Ovis aries: one gene and its partners. The protein of the gene in region 1 purifies or fractionates together with the protein of each later gene. This does not show direct contact. Links are inferred from orthologs where the notes say so. Each region holds a gene or a part of one and is shown on either strand. Other genes may lie near its edges.

Region 1 (5,022 bases):
GGGGGGGGGGGGTGGGCAGGGAGTTATGCCCTGACTCCATCACACGAAATGGTCCCCACCTCCTCATTTTGCAAATGGAGAAACAGCCTACAGAAGAGACTGGCTTGAGGCCCCTCTTCTTCCAAGCATCCACCACAGTGCTGCTGGTCCCTTTGTTTGAGCAGGGCACTAATGCGTTTCTCTGAGATTTATAGAAAAAAGTTCTTCACAGAAAAGAATCCCAAGAAATGACCGAGTAGGGGACCTGCATGCTTTTAAATGTAGAGCTCTGTCCATGGTTGATACTTGGTGAGTTACACGGAGACTGCTGGACTGAAAATGGGATGTCTGTAATATCAAAGTATAACTGAACTGGATATACACGTCTCAAATATTTTCTACTTAATGCATGGAATTTCTACCAAAGAAGAAACAATCTTTTTCATACACATGAAGATAACTTGGACATTTTCCCCACCTACACAGACCTGTGAGAATCGACACTTTTCCTTTCTTCACAAGCCCAAATAGGGCATGCATCAAGGCCTTCCTGTTCTAATTACCCTCAATCCACCCCTGACACCCTCCACAACAGCTGCACTTTCTTCTCTTCTCCTTCAGTTCGTTCACACTAATCAAGTGTCTGACAGATCTGATGACAAGAGGCAGCCAGCACCTTAAGCCCACCCCTCACAACACTCATGGCCACCTCTGTGGGACTGGTTCAGTATTTGTGTCTCCCCGGCTACCCTGGGGCTTATTTTAAGGGCAGGGACCACCCACGTCTGTATCCCACAGTGCTGGGCACACAGGAGGGTCTTAGCAAATGTGTGGCCAAATGAAAGTATGAAACAACACAAAACAAGAAATCCTTGTTTGGCAAGATAAAGAATCTTCTAATGTCAAGACTGGTCTGATAATATTTTAAAGACACTTTGCTTGAGGGGCATGGCCAATATTGCTGCATGCTGATAAATGACTGGTGCTATTCGATTAACTTCAAAAAAAAAAAAAATGGGCACAGCAAAGTACAGCATTTATTTTATTGGGTTTATATAGAAGCTATTTCCACCTATTTATCACTTTAAATGGCAAAGAAGAGAAATACATTCAAGAAGAAGCTTTAGGCGTATCTTAGACTTTTAGCCAAAAGTAGAGTGTCAGCCTCATAATTTACTCCATACCAACAGCAGTCACTGAATGAGGCAAAGCATGATTACTGCAGAGAAAGACAAGGATGCCACTTTCTAAACCCCGTTGGCCCCCCATGTCTCCTACCTCATCAGAGTAACAGAAGGAAGAGTCACCTGCAGTGAATTTATGGTGTGTACCTGGTGCTACGCAGTCAGGGAGTGACAGTCTATGGTGGCTGGGGACATGATCAAGATGAAAAGAACAGATCAGCCTCAAGACTTAAGCTGCAACAAAAGATCCTACAATCAGATGTTCAGAAACACTCTCTTTAACCCTGTGTATGAAAGGCATACTTTCAACACTGGAAGGGCCTTAACAGGGTCTTGCAAACAGAGGCCAGAAGCCGCTGTGATGGACAAAGTTACACAGTGAGTCCAAGTTTGGCTGGTCATTTCCACACTACCGCAGGCCTCCAAAGCCAAGAGGAGCACACCTGCCTCGCTCCAGCACCAGTGCGACCTCACCCCCCAGCGCCAGGCCACTCGCCAGGTCCAGGGCCACAAGCTGGAGCCCCTGGTTCCCTGTAATCTCCCCCATGGATGTGACAGCATCCCAGCTCCAGTCTCCGGACCATACTGATAGAGGATGAGACCCCACTGCTAGACCTATTTAGGATATTCAAAAATCAGAATGATGATTGCCTTAAAACAGAATACACGTCAGTCTTTACTCTCTTCAAAAAGATTCTCATCCAATGGGGATGGAAAAGGGGCTTGAAAATGTGAACTCAAGATAACCATTGTTGTTTTTTTAATTTCAATTTACACTAATGGATTTTTTATTTGTCTGTTGTCATTTTATGAGGAGACAGGAGTTTAAATAGTTGAAAAAATACTGCTCAAGGGACACTGGTTCTTACTTTGGGATGCACGTAGGCATGTGTCCAGGGATTGTTTTGAGAACCTTAGGAAACTTCAGCCTGGAGGAAAAACGTGCAAATACAAGACAACTCCACAAATTGCATCAACCTCCTCACCCAAGACCATAGTAGCAAAGCCCCAATTCCCTGAAGACGATCAGGAAACAAAATGCCATTACCTTGAACTGCTTGTTCTCCTCCCGCAGCCTCTGGACTTCGCTCTGCAGCCTCTTACACTCTTCCATCACCTTCTTAACTTCAGTGTCATCCAAGGAGGAACTCAGAGCTTTAGACACCGTTGGTGTTTCTGTCTTTGATGTAGTTGTGGGTATAATTTTATTTATTTCTACATCATGCTGTTCAGAAATAAATGAAAGCCCAAGTGTCACCAACCACGTATTAAAGGACTTCTTCATGCAAAGTAAAGTAGGTCTCAGCAGACACCACCCAGGGTAGCGTTTCATCCAAACTGTACAATGTCACATTTTTTTAAAACAGATCACTTTATCACCTAGTATCTTCATAATCTAAAACTGGGCTCCAGAAATTATGGATGAGGGCAAATAATGAAGTCCGGCTGAGACTAATACTTCAAAGAAAGAGAAAAGGGGCTGTGCGCACTGCACTATCAAATTCCTGCCATGAAAAATCAGCAGAGCATAGCTGCACAAGCTCAGGAATCATCAGCCACAAGTCACTATGAAGACGCGAACATCCCCCAAACTGGCTGGGCGGGGGCAGAAGGCCAGAGGGGACGTAACCCAGAGGGTGATTTGTCTCCTGAACTTAAGACAACTGCAGCGATGGGATGAAGGTGCAACAAATTCAGTGTCTATGGTATTTCATCCTGGGGAGGCAATGTGTTCCTCACTTCCCCAGCCACGACTGCGCTGTGATCCCCTCTGAAGACCTACTGGGGATGAGTGAGTATGTGGGGGCCGGGGAAGCATGGAAGCCCTTGGGGGTCCATGCAGCAAACGGAGAACAGCGAGCTCTACCCTTAGTCTCCCAGGGGAGAGGAGTGAGGCCCTGGCAAGCAAGACCTCAACACACAGAGCTAACCTCCAAGAGCACAGCTGGGGCCAGAATACAGTCCTCAACTATCCACAACTGACAGAACATGCTGTGGGAAGAGGGAAGGGAAAAAAGGAACGAAGACCACCAATCATTCGAAGAAATGGGATAGTGACGGTGGTCCATTAGTGAGCAGAAAAAAAATGCTAAGTAGTTTTGACACAAAGCATCAGCATTCCTGGAGATTGTTATGGATAACGTTGAGAGTTTGAACATTTCTATTCCCACCACCAGCTATTAACAGCCAGGGTGGTTTAATACTCTGCATGGGTTTTAAACTGTGTTAACACAGTTTAAGTTTTTTGACTAGGGTGAAGGGAGGTTCATGCCAACCGGGCTCATGCTTTGGTTTCACACAGAGAAAAGTGAGCCAGCAGCTGGGAGGGAGTCACTCCTTACCCTCAGTGCTCAGGCAGCAAAAAGGGTGATTCTCAACGGGAACTGACTCTGCCTCGGGAAGGGCATACCTGGCAACATCCAGAGACGCTTCAGGTCATCACGACCAGGGATGCTACTGGGGTGAGGTCAAGGATGCCACAACACACCCTGCAAGGCACAGGACAGCACCATAGCGAAGGACTCCTGGCCCGAAAGTCAGCAGGGCTAAGGGTGAGAAATCCTCATCTAAAAGCACATTTTGACTGAAGAGAATCTGGGGTTCAAGAGGTGGAGAGTTGGTGCTCAGGAGAAATGCAGACAGGGAAGCCTGCAGACAGCACTGTACAAGAGGAGCTGAGCGCTCACCGTCTTTCCCACTGTTAAATATAATAGCAACCTAGAACTTTGCCCAAGTCAAAGAAGCTCTTCGGAATTTATGACATTTCAACAGTCAACAGGTTGTGCTTTTCAAAGGCAAAAAAAATTTCAATGAGTTCTTTCTGTGAATCTTTCAAAGGCAGATTTCACAAAGGCCCACTTATTTGTTGACTTCAGCGAATTTTTCTCTTCATACATCAGAAGAAGGAAAATAATTTGCCAACTTAAATCTTGGTTTTGCAGGAGATGGTATGCAAATAAGTATCAGCTTGCAACATTCAATTATTGTTAACTATAAACATACTTACTGGTTTATCATTTTCTGCTGGCAATTCAAACACACATCTAAGTTTTGAATCCATAAGGTCTTCCGGTTTTGCCTCCTTCCACTAAAACAATTTAAATTCAATAATCAGGATATTATAAAGCTGCTAGAAGAATGATTTTCTTCCTATAACTGACAATTTCAGAAAAATACGCTTAATGAGAAAGCCCTGATGTACATCAAATAAAGAACTTAAGTCTGCTGAGATTTCAATATTTTTAACGTGACAAGATTAAATACACCAGCTCCCCTGAATATTGATTATTCTTCACCAGCCCCAGTCGTGCTGCCTGACTCCTCTGTGTCCACCAGAGCTCCTGTCACCAGGCTGTGAAAAGCACACAGGACAGAGAAGACCATCACTGGACCCAGAGGAGTCTTCTAGCCTGCATCCGGATGGCCTAAGGACATCTGGGCTCTCCTTAAGAAAATACAACTTACTTAGCAGGGCATGTCTTTCTAAGCGGAAGCCCATACTACTTGGAGGTGATTTTAGAACACTGCCAACTACCAGCAGGGCATGGGAATGGGAAGGCCACTCTCTGTGACCCCTACTGTCTGGGCTGAACCCCACTCCCTCAGCCTGCTGGGAGGAACACGTTCCTGACTAAATCCATGTTCTGGGAGGAGGCACTCCTGGCTTACTGCTCCTCGTTTTGGCAGAGGAGAACAGGAATCCCAGATGTTCTGAGAATTATAGAATAAACCAGCACAGCAAGAAGGTGATACAGCAAAAGGAACAAATCCCCCCACCCTGGCCCCAGAACCATGCAAGAGGCAGAGAGAGCAACAGGTACCAAAAGTCAAAAAAGGGAAATAATCTGTGTCAAGCAAA
Region 2 (4,043 bases), on another chromosome or scaffold:
GCCCCTGCACTGGAAGCATGGCATCTTAACCACTGGCCCACCAGAGAAGCCCACACAGTTCATAGTTTCTCTGAGCCTGGTGCCTCTGCTAAGCCCGGGCGGGCCACGAAGAAAGGGAAAGAGGAGACTCGGAGGGAGATGGTTGGGTACAGTGAGTGGGAGGGAGGCCCACTAAGCCTAGCTTTGCCTTGCCTCCACAGCCCATTGACCTTGAGTGGGACCCTGCCCTTCCCTGGCCCTCGGCCTGCCAGCTGTTTGTGGAAAGAGTTGAACTCCAATAGCTGAGTGCCCTGCCCTCCTTCACAAGATGCCACCAGGGGGCAGCACAAAGCCTGGGCTGCTTCCACAGCTGGAGGGCTCTGTCTCCAGCCTGAACCTAGAGGGTTCTTTCTCTGGACTAAAGGTGCCTGGAGGGTGGAAATGCCAGTTCACTTAAGCCCCACCCTCGCATGCCTTAACACCCTAACATCCTAAGCTTGGAATCAGCCCTGGGGCTCGGAATACACCCTATCTCTGAGTCCTAAGAGGAAGGAAAAGGAGCCGAGCTGCTTCCCCACCCCTGGGACCTGAGAAACAGTCGAGAGAGAACTGGTTTCCCCAGTGTGGGTGAGACCCTGTGCGGTGCTGCCTTGCACCGACCCAGTGCCTCTAGCCAACTGGGTGCGGTCCCAAGAGCCCAGCCCTAGGCCCTGGCAGCCTTTGCCCACGATCTGGGCGCTATTGGCCAGACTTGTGAACCCGGAAGACACAGGTGGGGAAAGCTCTGGGGCCCCGTTCAGGGAGGAGCCCCAAGACTGGAAGTGAAAGTGACTGCAGCCCTCTGAATGACCTGGCGGTCTGGGACACCGGAACCCCACCGGCTAGGCCAGTGATGTCAGAGACCAGCCGCTGGCTAGACTTGGGACGGGAAGGCGTTTCCCCCACCCTGGGCCCCGGATTCCCAGGGCCCGGGAAGTTGGGGCTGAGACTCTTGTCATATTTCCATAGCACACTGGAGGGCCGGGCCAGGGTGGAGGAAGGATCCCAGAGTGTCTGGGGATCCCAAATAACACGGCCGGAGTACGCAGCGCCAGCATTTGGAGAAGGGCCTCTTCCCCCGCCGCCGTGGGGAAGGAAGGAAGGTTGAGGCCGCCCTCCGCCGCCGTGGGCGGGGCTGCCCGGACCCCGCCGGGGTGGGTAGGGCCGCGCGCCCAGGAAGGGGGCGGGGCGGCCGCAGTGACGCGGCGGGCGGCGGGGAGGGACCGGAGGGGTGCCGGCGGGCAGACCGGGAGGAAGGTCGGGGCCATGGGCCCGCGCTGCGCCTCCAGAGGGTCCGGCCACTGCTGGAATCCGCGGCCGGGGCTGGAGTCGCTCGGGGCTCCAACCCGCGGCCCGTCGGCCCCCGCCCGTACTGGGTGAGGGGCGTCCACCCTAGACTAGAGGTGAGCCGGGACGTTGGCGGGCGGGCCGATCGAGAGCACGGCGGGCGACGGGGACGCCGGGGAGCAGAGGGAAGTGGGGGCAACGGGGCCTCTCGCTTGCTCAGTGGGTGCGAGGTGGGGGTACGGCGGCAGCGAAGTCGGGGCGCAGGTGGACGGAGCAGCTTGCAGGGCGGGGGCCCGTAGGGTACTTCTAGCTTGAGCCTGAAGAGTGTGGTCAGCCCTGGAGAAGGAGGATGAGGCAGCTGCATAGACGAGTGCCGGGGGTCCAGGAACGATGCGGGGAAGGGGGAGTTGGGGACTGGGCTGCCCGCCAGGGTGGGGAAGACAGGTCTCGGGGCGAAAGTGTTATCTAGTCTTTGAAGGTAGTTTCGGGTGCAGGGGGAGGGGGGCGCCCGGGGCTGCTCCGCGGAGAGACGCGGGGGACAAGGTTCTAAGTGGACGTCCAGGAGTGGGGACACGGACCGACTCGGGGAAAGGGATGCAGGGGGCGGGCCCCGAGGGGCCGGTGGTGGAAGGCGGCCCGGAAGGAGGGGCCCCGGGGTTTCCAGGGGCGGGTCCCCAAAGGATGCTGTTCCGAGGGGCTTAGGACGCCGCCGCGGCCGGAGAGGCGAGGCTGGCCCGCCAGCCCGCCGGCCACCTCCCGCGGCTCCTGGGGGCCCGCGTCAGCGCGCGGTTGCCATGGCGATGGGCGGGCGGGGGGCGGGGGCTGCGCGGAAAAGAGGTCAGCGCTCAGCCTCTCGGCGGCTCCCGGCCCCCCGCGGCGCTGGCTGCAGAGCTGGGCTCGCCGCTGCCTGCCCTGTGGCGAGCCCGGGCATGGGGTCCCCGCGCCTGAGCCCCTCGGCCCGCGCGCAGGGCTCGGGGCCGCGCGCCGCCGCCCCGCACTGACGGCCGCGCGGTGCCCTGCGCCAGGAGCCGCGGAGGCCGCGCGCGGCCGGCCGAGCGCTTTCAGGATGCTCATCAAGGAATACCACATCCTGCTGCCCATGAGCCTGGACGAATATCAGGTGGCCCAGCTCTACATGATCCAGGTGAGGGCGGTGGCAAGTAGGAGGCCGAGGAGGGGATGGGAACATGCTTCATGTTGGGTATCCGCAGGAGTGCGCAGGCCACACCTGGGATAAGGGGCCGGGCTCAGCTCAATCCCCTGCCAGTCCAGCCCCGAGGCTTAGGAGGGCTCAGGCCAGAGCAGAAGAGAGCGCGTCCCCAGTCGGATGTGGGGGAGGGGTGGGGTGATTAAGGACCGTGCGAAGAGGGACCGAAGGGCCTGGTGGTGCCTCCCCGAGTGCCCAGCCCCTGCTGAACGCTCAACCCCTATCTGATCTCCTTTAATCCTCCTTAGAATCCGTAATCCTCAGCGGGTAGGGAGAGGAGCGCATGAGGAGTCAAGAGTGGGGGGCAGAAAGTGAGGAGGGGTCCCAGGGGGTAGAGAAAGACTAGGAGAGGTTTCCCAGAGGGTGAAGGAACCTGGCCACCCCCAACGGTCAGGGAGATGGGCTGAGGCTCAGGGCCGGAGGCTGTCAGAGGAGCAGGCAGGGACCCCAGAGGGTGAGATCTGGGCTGAGAGGAAGCATGCAGGGAGTCAGGCTTGGGAGGAGAAGCTAGAGCCAGGGCAGGTGCCCATTTCAGAGGCGTCCCCTGAAATGTGGGACCAGAATCTGAACAGGCAAGAGGGTTGGGATCTGGCCTCAGAGGGTTGGGTGGGCCATGTTCAAACTCCTGAGCTACATAAGGACAGGATCTGAGTGCTCTCCAACTAGGAGGGGTGTGGCAGGAGCTGGTATTGGGGTCCTAGAAAGGCGGGTATCCCTTTTACTCTCCTGATTCTTCCAGCCTGCCCACCCTGGCCCCTTGCTGGCAGGGCATGCAGCTTGTCCCCCTCAGGAGCTTACACGGGCTCTCTCTCTGCTTGAAACACACTCCCACCCCATATCTGCCCCGCACCCTCCTTTTCCCCCCAAGTCATCTTCAAATCATGGTCATGTTATCTTTTCAGTGAGGCCTTTCCTGACCATCCTATCAATACTGCAACCCCCAACTCTATCCACCTAACCCTAGTCTATGCTTTCTTTTTACCACAGCACTTAGGACCCTCTAAGATGCTTTTTTTCTGTTTTCTGTCTACTGTGTCTCCTTCCGCTGGAGTGTACAGTTCCACAAGGGCAGGCAGGGGTCTTTACTCTGTACATCACCAGATCGCAATGAATATAAGCCCGGACAGTGCCTGGAATAGAGCAGACAGCAAATACTTGAATGACTGAACAAGTCCTGGCTTGCAGAACCCCAGAGGGGACTGGTCAGAGGCTATAATCCTGACCCCAGTAGCTATAGGGGAGCAGGTGGAATTTCAGAGAGCTAGAAAGGCTGGGACTCAGGCCTCAGAGCTGCGCTGGGGATGAGGCCTAAGTGGGGAGCCCGTCCCAGGAATGGAGTTAGGACTGAGGTGCCTATCCTCCTCTTGCCCTGGGCTGCAGAAAAAGAGCCGAGAGGAGTCGAGTGGCGAGGGCAGTGGCGTGGAGATCCTGGCCAACCGGCCCTACACGGATGGGCCGGGTGGCAGTGGACAGTACACGCACAAGGTATACCACGTGGGCTCCCACATCCCAGGCTGGTTCCGGGCGCTGC
Region 3 (4,253 bases), on another chromosome or scaffold:
GCTCTCTGGCTGTGGTTATCGCACAGTGGTTACACAAGATGGCACCACTGGGGGAGACTGGGTGAAGAGTGTCTGCAAGCTCTCTGTTGGCTTTTCAACAGCTTCCTGTGATTCTAAAATTATGGGCAGGTAACTGGAGGGCTGGAGGCCCTTCAGCCCTGAGAGCCAGGACTCCCTTCATGAGCCCAGGGCCTCCGAGCAGGGGAAGAGCAAAAGGAGATGCCGAGGCCCAGAGACAGTCTTGTCTGGGTCCCCAGCTGCAGAGGCCATTAGCCAGGCTTCAGGGCTCCCAGAGCCGTGCTCACCCCGGGGGCACCTCCCTCCCAGTCTGACTGTGTGGGGTGAGGGTGGGGAGGCAGGTGTGTGTGCACCTACCTGGGAGGTGCTGGGGGCACCTGAAGGGGCACCGTGTTCAGACACAGTGTGAAGCCCCCGGGCCAGGGCAGAGGGCAGGACACAGTGATGGGAGCACAGAGACACTGGGCCGGGAGGCAGCACCACTGCTGAGGGGCCCAGGGCAGATGGCCTGACAGGCAGACAGGGTGGGAGCGGGTGGAGAGGGTCCTGAGGCCGGTTTTCTAGGGCCCAGGCCTAGAGATGTCAACAGCCAACCCTCTGCATCACAGAGCAGTGTCCTCAGCGCCCCAAGCCCAGCGGAGCACAAGCAGCCGGTGCATGGCTGGGAGGGGGTGGGAAGGCTGGGCCAGATGCCTGGCTGACTGGCTGTGGCACGCGACGGGTGGGGGTTGTGGTTGGTGAGGTTTAATGGGCTTTGCTGTCCCCACCCTGGCAGCCTGCCTTCAGATGTGGTCCCCACGCACCCCCGTCACCAGGGTCCCAAGCCCCAGGGACGCAGGACAGAAAGCTGGGCCTGACCCCAGCCCACAGCTGCCCTCTCGGGCCCTCCTCGCCCCAGGGCCTTGGCGCGGTTCATCATGCAGGACCACTCCTGGGGGTTGGGGGGTGTTGTTCTCAGCAGGGAGCCAGGGCTGGGACCTAGAACTGGGTGCCTGCCCTGTCCACGCCGGGCTGTGGGAGGGCCCCTGAGGCTGGGTCAGAGCGGCCCAGCTCCTGCCTCAGAGGCTCCCAGCCCAGCACCCCAACTCTCCTTCCACAGCGGGTGAGCATCTGTGCATGCTTTCTGTCCCACCTGGAAAACTGGAAACAGTCGGGTTGGACCAGGATTACCAGCAGTGTGGGGGCGTGTCAAGGCTATCGCCTTGCTGTGTGTCCTCAGGAGAACACTGTCCCTCTCTGGGCCGCAATGGCCCAGAAGCGCTTGGATTTTGGTCCCTGAGCGGTTCAGAATTCCGCCATCTGGGGCCGGTGGCGGCGAAGACACTCGCACACCCGCCAGACGTCTGTCTGTCGGGGGTGGGGTGAATGTTTCCGGCCCCGCCCCCGGCCGCACGTGACCGCAGGTGGCGGCAGCGGGGTGGGCGGGGCCGCACTTAGTCACCGCAGCCAGCGCCCGCGCCGCCCGCGCGCCCGGTAAGCGAACCTCGGCCCGCGCCCCTGACCCCCGACCCTAGGCCCCGGGGAGACCCGCCCGCTTACGCGCCGGCCTGAACCTACTGCGCGCAGACCCCAAGGGGTGCCGATCGCGGCGCTGGGAGCTTTGGGGGCCCCTTCCCACCCCGGAAGCCCTGGGGATGCGGGGCGCCGCCGAGCAGGGCCAGAGGTCGTCGGAGAGCAGACTTCGGACCCTCCTTCTTGGGAACTTCTGGGGAGTCCCTCGCCGCCCCTAGTTCCCCCCAGAAGTCGCCAGGACCTTGGCAACTCCAAAAATCCCCCGGGAGGCGGGCTCCCGCCCCCGCCCCCAGCAGGTACCGGCACCCGGGCGGGAGGCGTGCGCCCCCGCCCCCCGCCGGCCCCTCCTCGGCGCGGCCGCCCCTCCCCGGCCCCGCCTGCACTCTGACCCGACCCTGCCGGCCCGCCCCTCCCGCAGGTCCCGGGGCAGAGGAGCGGCGGCGGCCCGAGGCCCCAGAGCGCTCAGCGCCCAGCCGGAGACGGCCCGGAGCTGCGGAGCGCGCGGCCGCCATGGCCTTCTCGCAGGTGCAGTGCCTGGACGACAGCCACGTCAACTGGCGCTCCAGCGAAGCCAAGCCCGAGTTCTTTTACAGCGAGGAGCAGCGGCTGGCGCTGGAGGCGCTGGCGGCCAGCGGCCGCGACGCCTTCTACGAGGTGCTGAAGCGCGAGAACATCCGCGACTTCCTCTCGGAGCTGGAGCTGCGGCGCATCCTGGAGACCATTGAGGTGTACGACCCCGGCTCCGAGGACCCTCGCGCCGGCGCGCAGCCGCGCGGGCCGGAGGATGGTGAGGCGGCCAGCGCGGCCGAGGGCACCCCCACCGAGGCCGAACCGCTGCCCTCGCTGGAGTACTGGCCCCAGAAGTCGGACCGCTCCATCCCACAGCTGGACCTGGGCTGGCCCGACACCATCGCCTACCGGGGCGTGACCCGGGCCAGCGTCTACATGCAGCCCCCCATCGACGGGCAGGCCCACATTAAGGAGGTGGTGCGCAAGATGATCAGCCAGGCCCAGAAGGTGAGTCGGCCGGCCAGAGTCCCCAAGAGACGCAGCCGGGCAGGCCTGACCTGTCCCGGTGTCTCAGGCGTCCACACGGGTGCACTCAGCCCAGCCCGGGCTTTCGGCTGCCTGTTGGGCCGCCTCCCTGCTGCCTTCGCCGGCATCCTCGGTTTCTCTGCAGAGCGGGCACCTGGATCCCCTGTCCGCTGACAGCAGGCTGCTCTGGCTCAAAGGATCTTTGTGCATCGTTGGGGGGTGTTTCTGACTTCCTCAGACTTGGCGAGGAGGTTCCCCAGAAGAAGGTGCTTGGGTGGGGCAGGAAGGATCACAGGGCTCCCCTCACTGTCCGCCGGGATGGCTCTGAGAAGCAGGAGGTTCCTGCGCACACGTGCTCCCGAGTGCTCTGGTGTTGCTTTTATGGATGGTGGAAACAGTCTGGGACCTGGGGTAGGCATGGAGACTGAGAAGTAGCCTGAGGCTGGCCTGGAGATCCAAGTTCAACTGTGCCTTTTCCCTTGCTGTGCTGGGTGACTGAGAGCAAGTAGCTCTCCCTCTCTGAGCCTCTTTGCAAGCTTTGCAGTGGCAGAACCTTCCCAGAGTGGGAGGTGGGGACTGGTGATGGTGTGTTCCTGGGGGTGGAAGCAGAGCAGGTCCCAGTGAGGGTTGTCAACCTGGATTGAAGGGACCTCAGGCATTGTCTGGACCTCCCTCGGAGCGACCCCAGCCGAGCTATGCCTTGTCCCGCTGTGGATATCCATTCAGCTGACACACTGACATACCTTCTGAGAAGGGATTTCTCCACTGGCAGGCAGCCAAGCCCTTGCTGGATAGCCGTGACCATAAGCGGGGCCTTCTCTTGCTTCCATGGATTTCAAGGCACATTCTGAGATGACTGATAAAGCCTGCCTCATGAGCAGGGTTGAGGATTCAAAAGCCAGCTCTGGACTCAGTAGAGAGGAGTAAGTGATCAGCAGTGCCTGTTCTGGCCTTGGCCCGGCAGGGCAAGGTATTTCTAGCTGAGTCGAGCCCCTTCACTATTCTGGGCCCGCTCAAAACCTAGACAGTGGCCTTGGGGAATCATCCTGGCTGACAGGGCCCAGGGGAGCTTTTGGGCAAAGAGACCAGAAGTGGGTCAGGCACTGACAAGCTGGCCATGGCTTAAGTTTCTGGAAAGGTGGAGTCCCTGTTTCCTGAGGGGGCTGGCAGGGTCGGATAGCCTATCTTGGGGAACCTGGCTCTCGGCCTGATCCCAGGCAGCTTTGGGGCTTTGGGTTTCTGCTCTGTGAAACGGAGGTGGCGGGGATGAAAGCCGTGAGGATGGAGTCGGGTGTCAGAGTGAGGAAGAGGTGGGATGGAGGAACCATCAGTTTTCAGACTGAATAACCTGCTGTGGCGGAGGGGGGTGCTGCTGGCGTGGGTGCCAGGCTTGAGATCGTGGATCCCAGTTCCCTAGGAGTGCCTGTTGGATCCCATTACCCAGCCTCCACCCCCTTTTTAAAAATGGAGAAATTGAGACCCTGGTAGAGGGGGCTTGACCTGCCGTGCTGGGGCGCCTCTCCTCCCCAGTAGAAGTAGGAAAGAGGTAGATCCCAGAGCCCAGACTGCTCAGGAACAGCTGAAAAGTCTTATCACCCCAAGATGGAAAGACAGATGGCCAGGTCCAGACAGGGGAGCCTGGGGCCAGGCTGAGCACCAGGGCCTCCTCCCTCCTCTCTTGTCTCTGT

Evidence for each region.
Region 2: the proteins of VAPB (region 1) and PITPNM1 purify together in Homo sapiens (affinity purification with mass spectrometry; 5 studies listed by BioGRID and IntAct, counting the BioPlex papers as one, with this or other methods). This does not show direct contact. The link is inferred for Ovis aries from reciprocal best matches to the Homo sapiens genes VAPB and PITPNM1.
Region 3: the proteins of VAPB (region 1) and FAM83G purify together in Homo sapiens (affinity purification with mass spectrometry; 3 studies listed by BioGRID and IntAct, counting the BioPlex papers as one, with this or other methods). This does not show direct contact. The link is inferred for Ovis aries from reciprocal best matches to the Homo sapiens genes VAPB and FAM83G.

Annotation. Positions count from the first base shown.
Region 1 is NC_056066.1:57,608,682-57,613,703, forward strand, and holds part of VAPB (vesicle-associated membrane protein-associated protein B/C), read right to left. Parts: intron 4,252-5,022; coding exon 4,171-4,251; intron 2,389-4,170; coding exon 2,212-2,388; intron 1-2,211. UniProt on the Homo sapiens protein: Endoplasmic reticulum (ER)-anchored protein that mediates the formation of contact sites between the ER and endosomes via interaction with FFAT motif-containing proteins such as STARD3 or WDR44.
Region 2 is NC_056074.1:41,789,852-41,793,894, reverse strand, and holds the start of PITPNM1 (membrane-associated phosphatidylinositol transfer protein 1), read left to right. Parts: upstream 1-1,243; 5' UTR 1,244-1,421; intron 1,422-2,330; 5' UTR 2,331-2,371; coding exon 2,372-2,449; intron 2,450-3,892; coding exon 3,893-4,043. UniProt on the Homo sapiens protein: Catalyzes the transfer of phosphatidylinositol (PI) between membranes. Binds PI, phosphatidylcholine (PC) and phosphatidic acid (PA) with the binding affinity order of PI > PA > PC. Regulates RHOA activity, and plays a role in cytoskeleton remodeling.
Region 3 is NC_056064.1:33,980,534-33,984,786, forward strand, and holds the start of FAM83G (protein FAM83G), read left to right. Parts: upstream 1-1,453; 5' UTR 1,454-1,491; intron 1,492-1,948; 5' UTR 1,949-2,040; coding exon 2,041-2,547; intron 2,548-4,253. UniProt on the Homo sapiens protein: Substrate for type I BMP receptor kinase involved in regulation of some target genes of the BMP signaling pathway. Also regulates the expression of several non-BMP target genes, suggesting a role in other signaling pathways.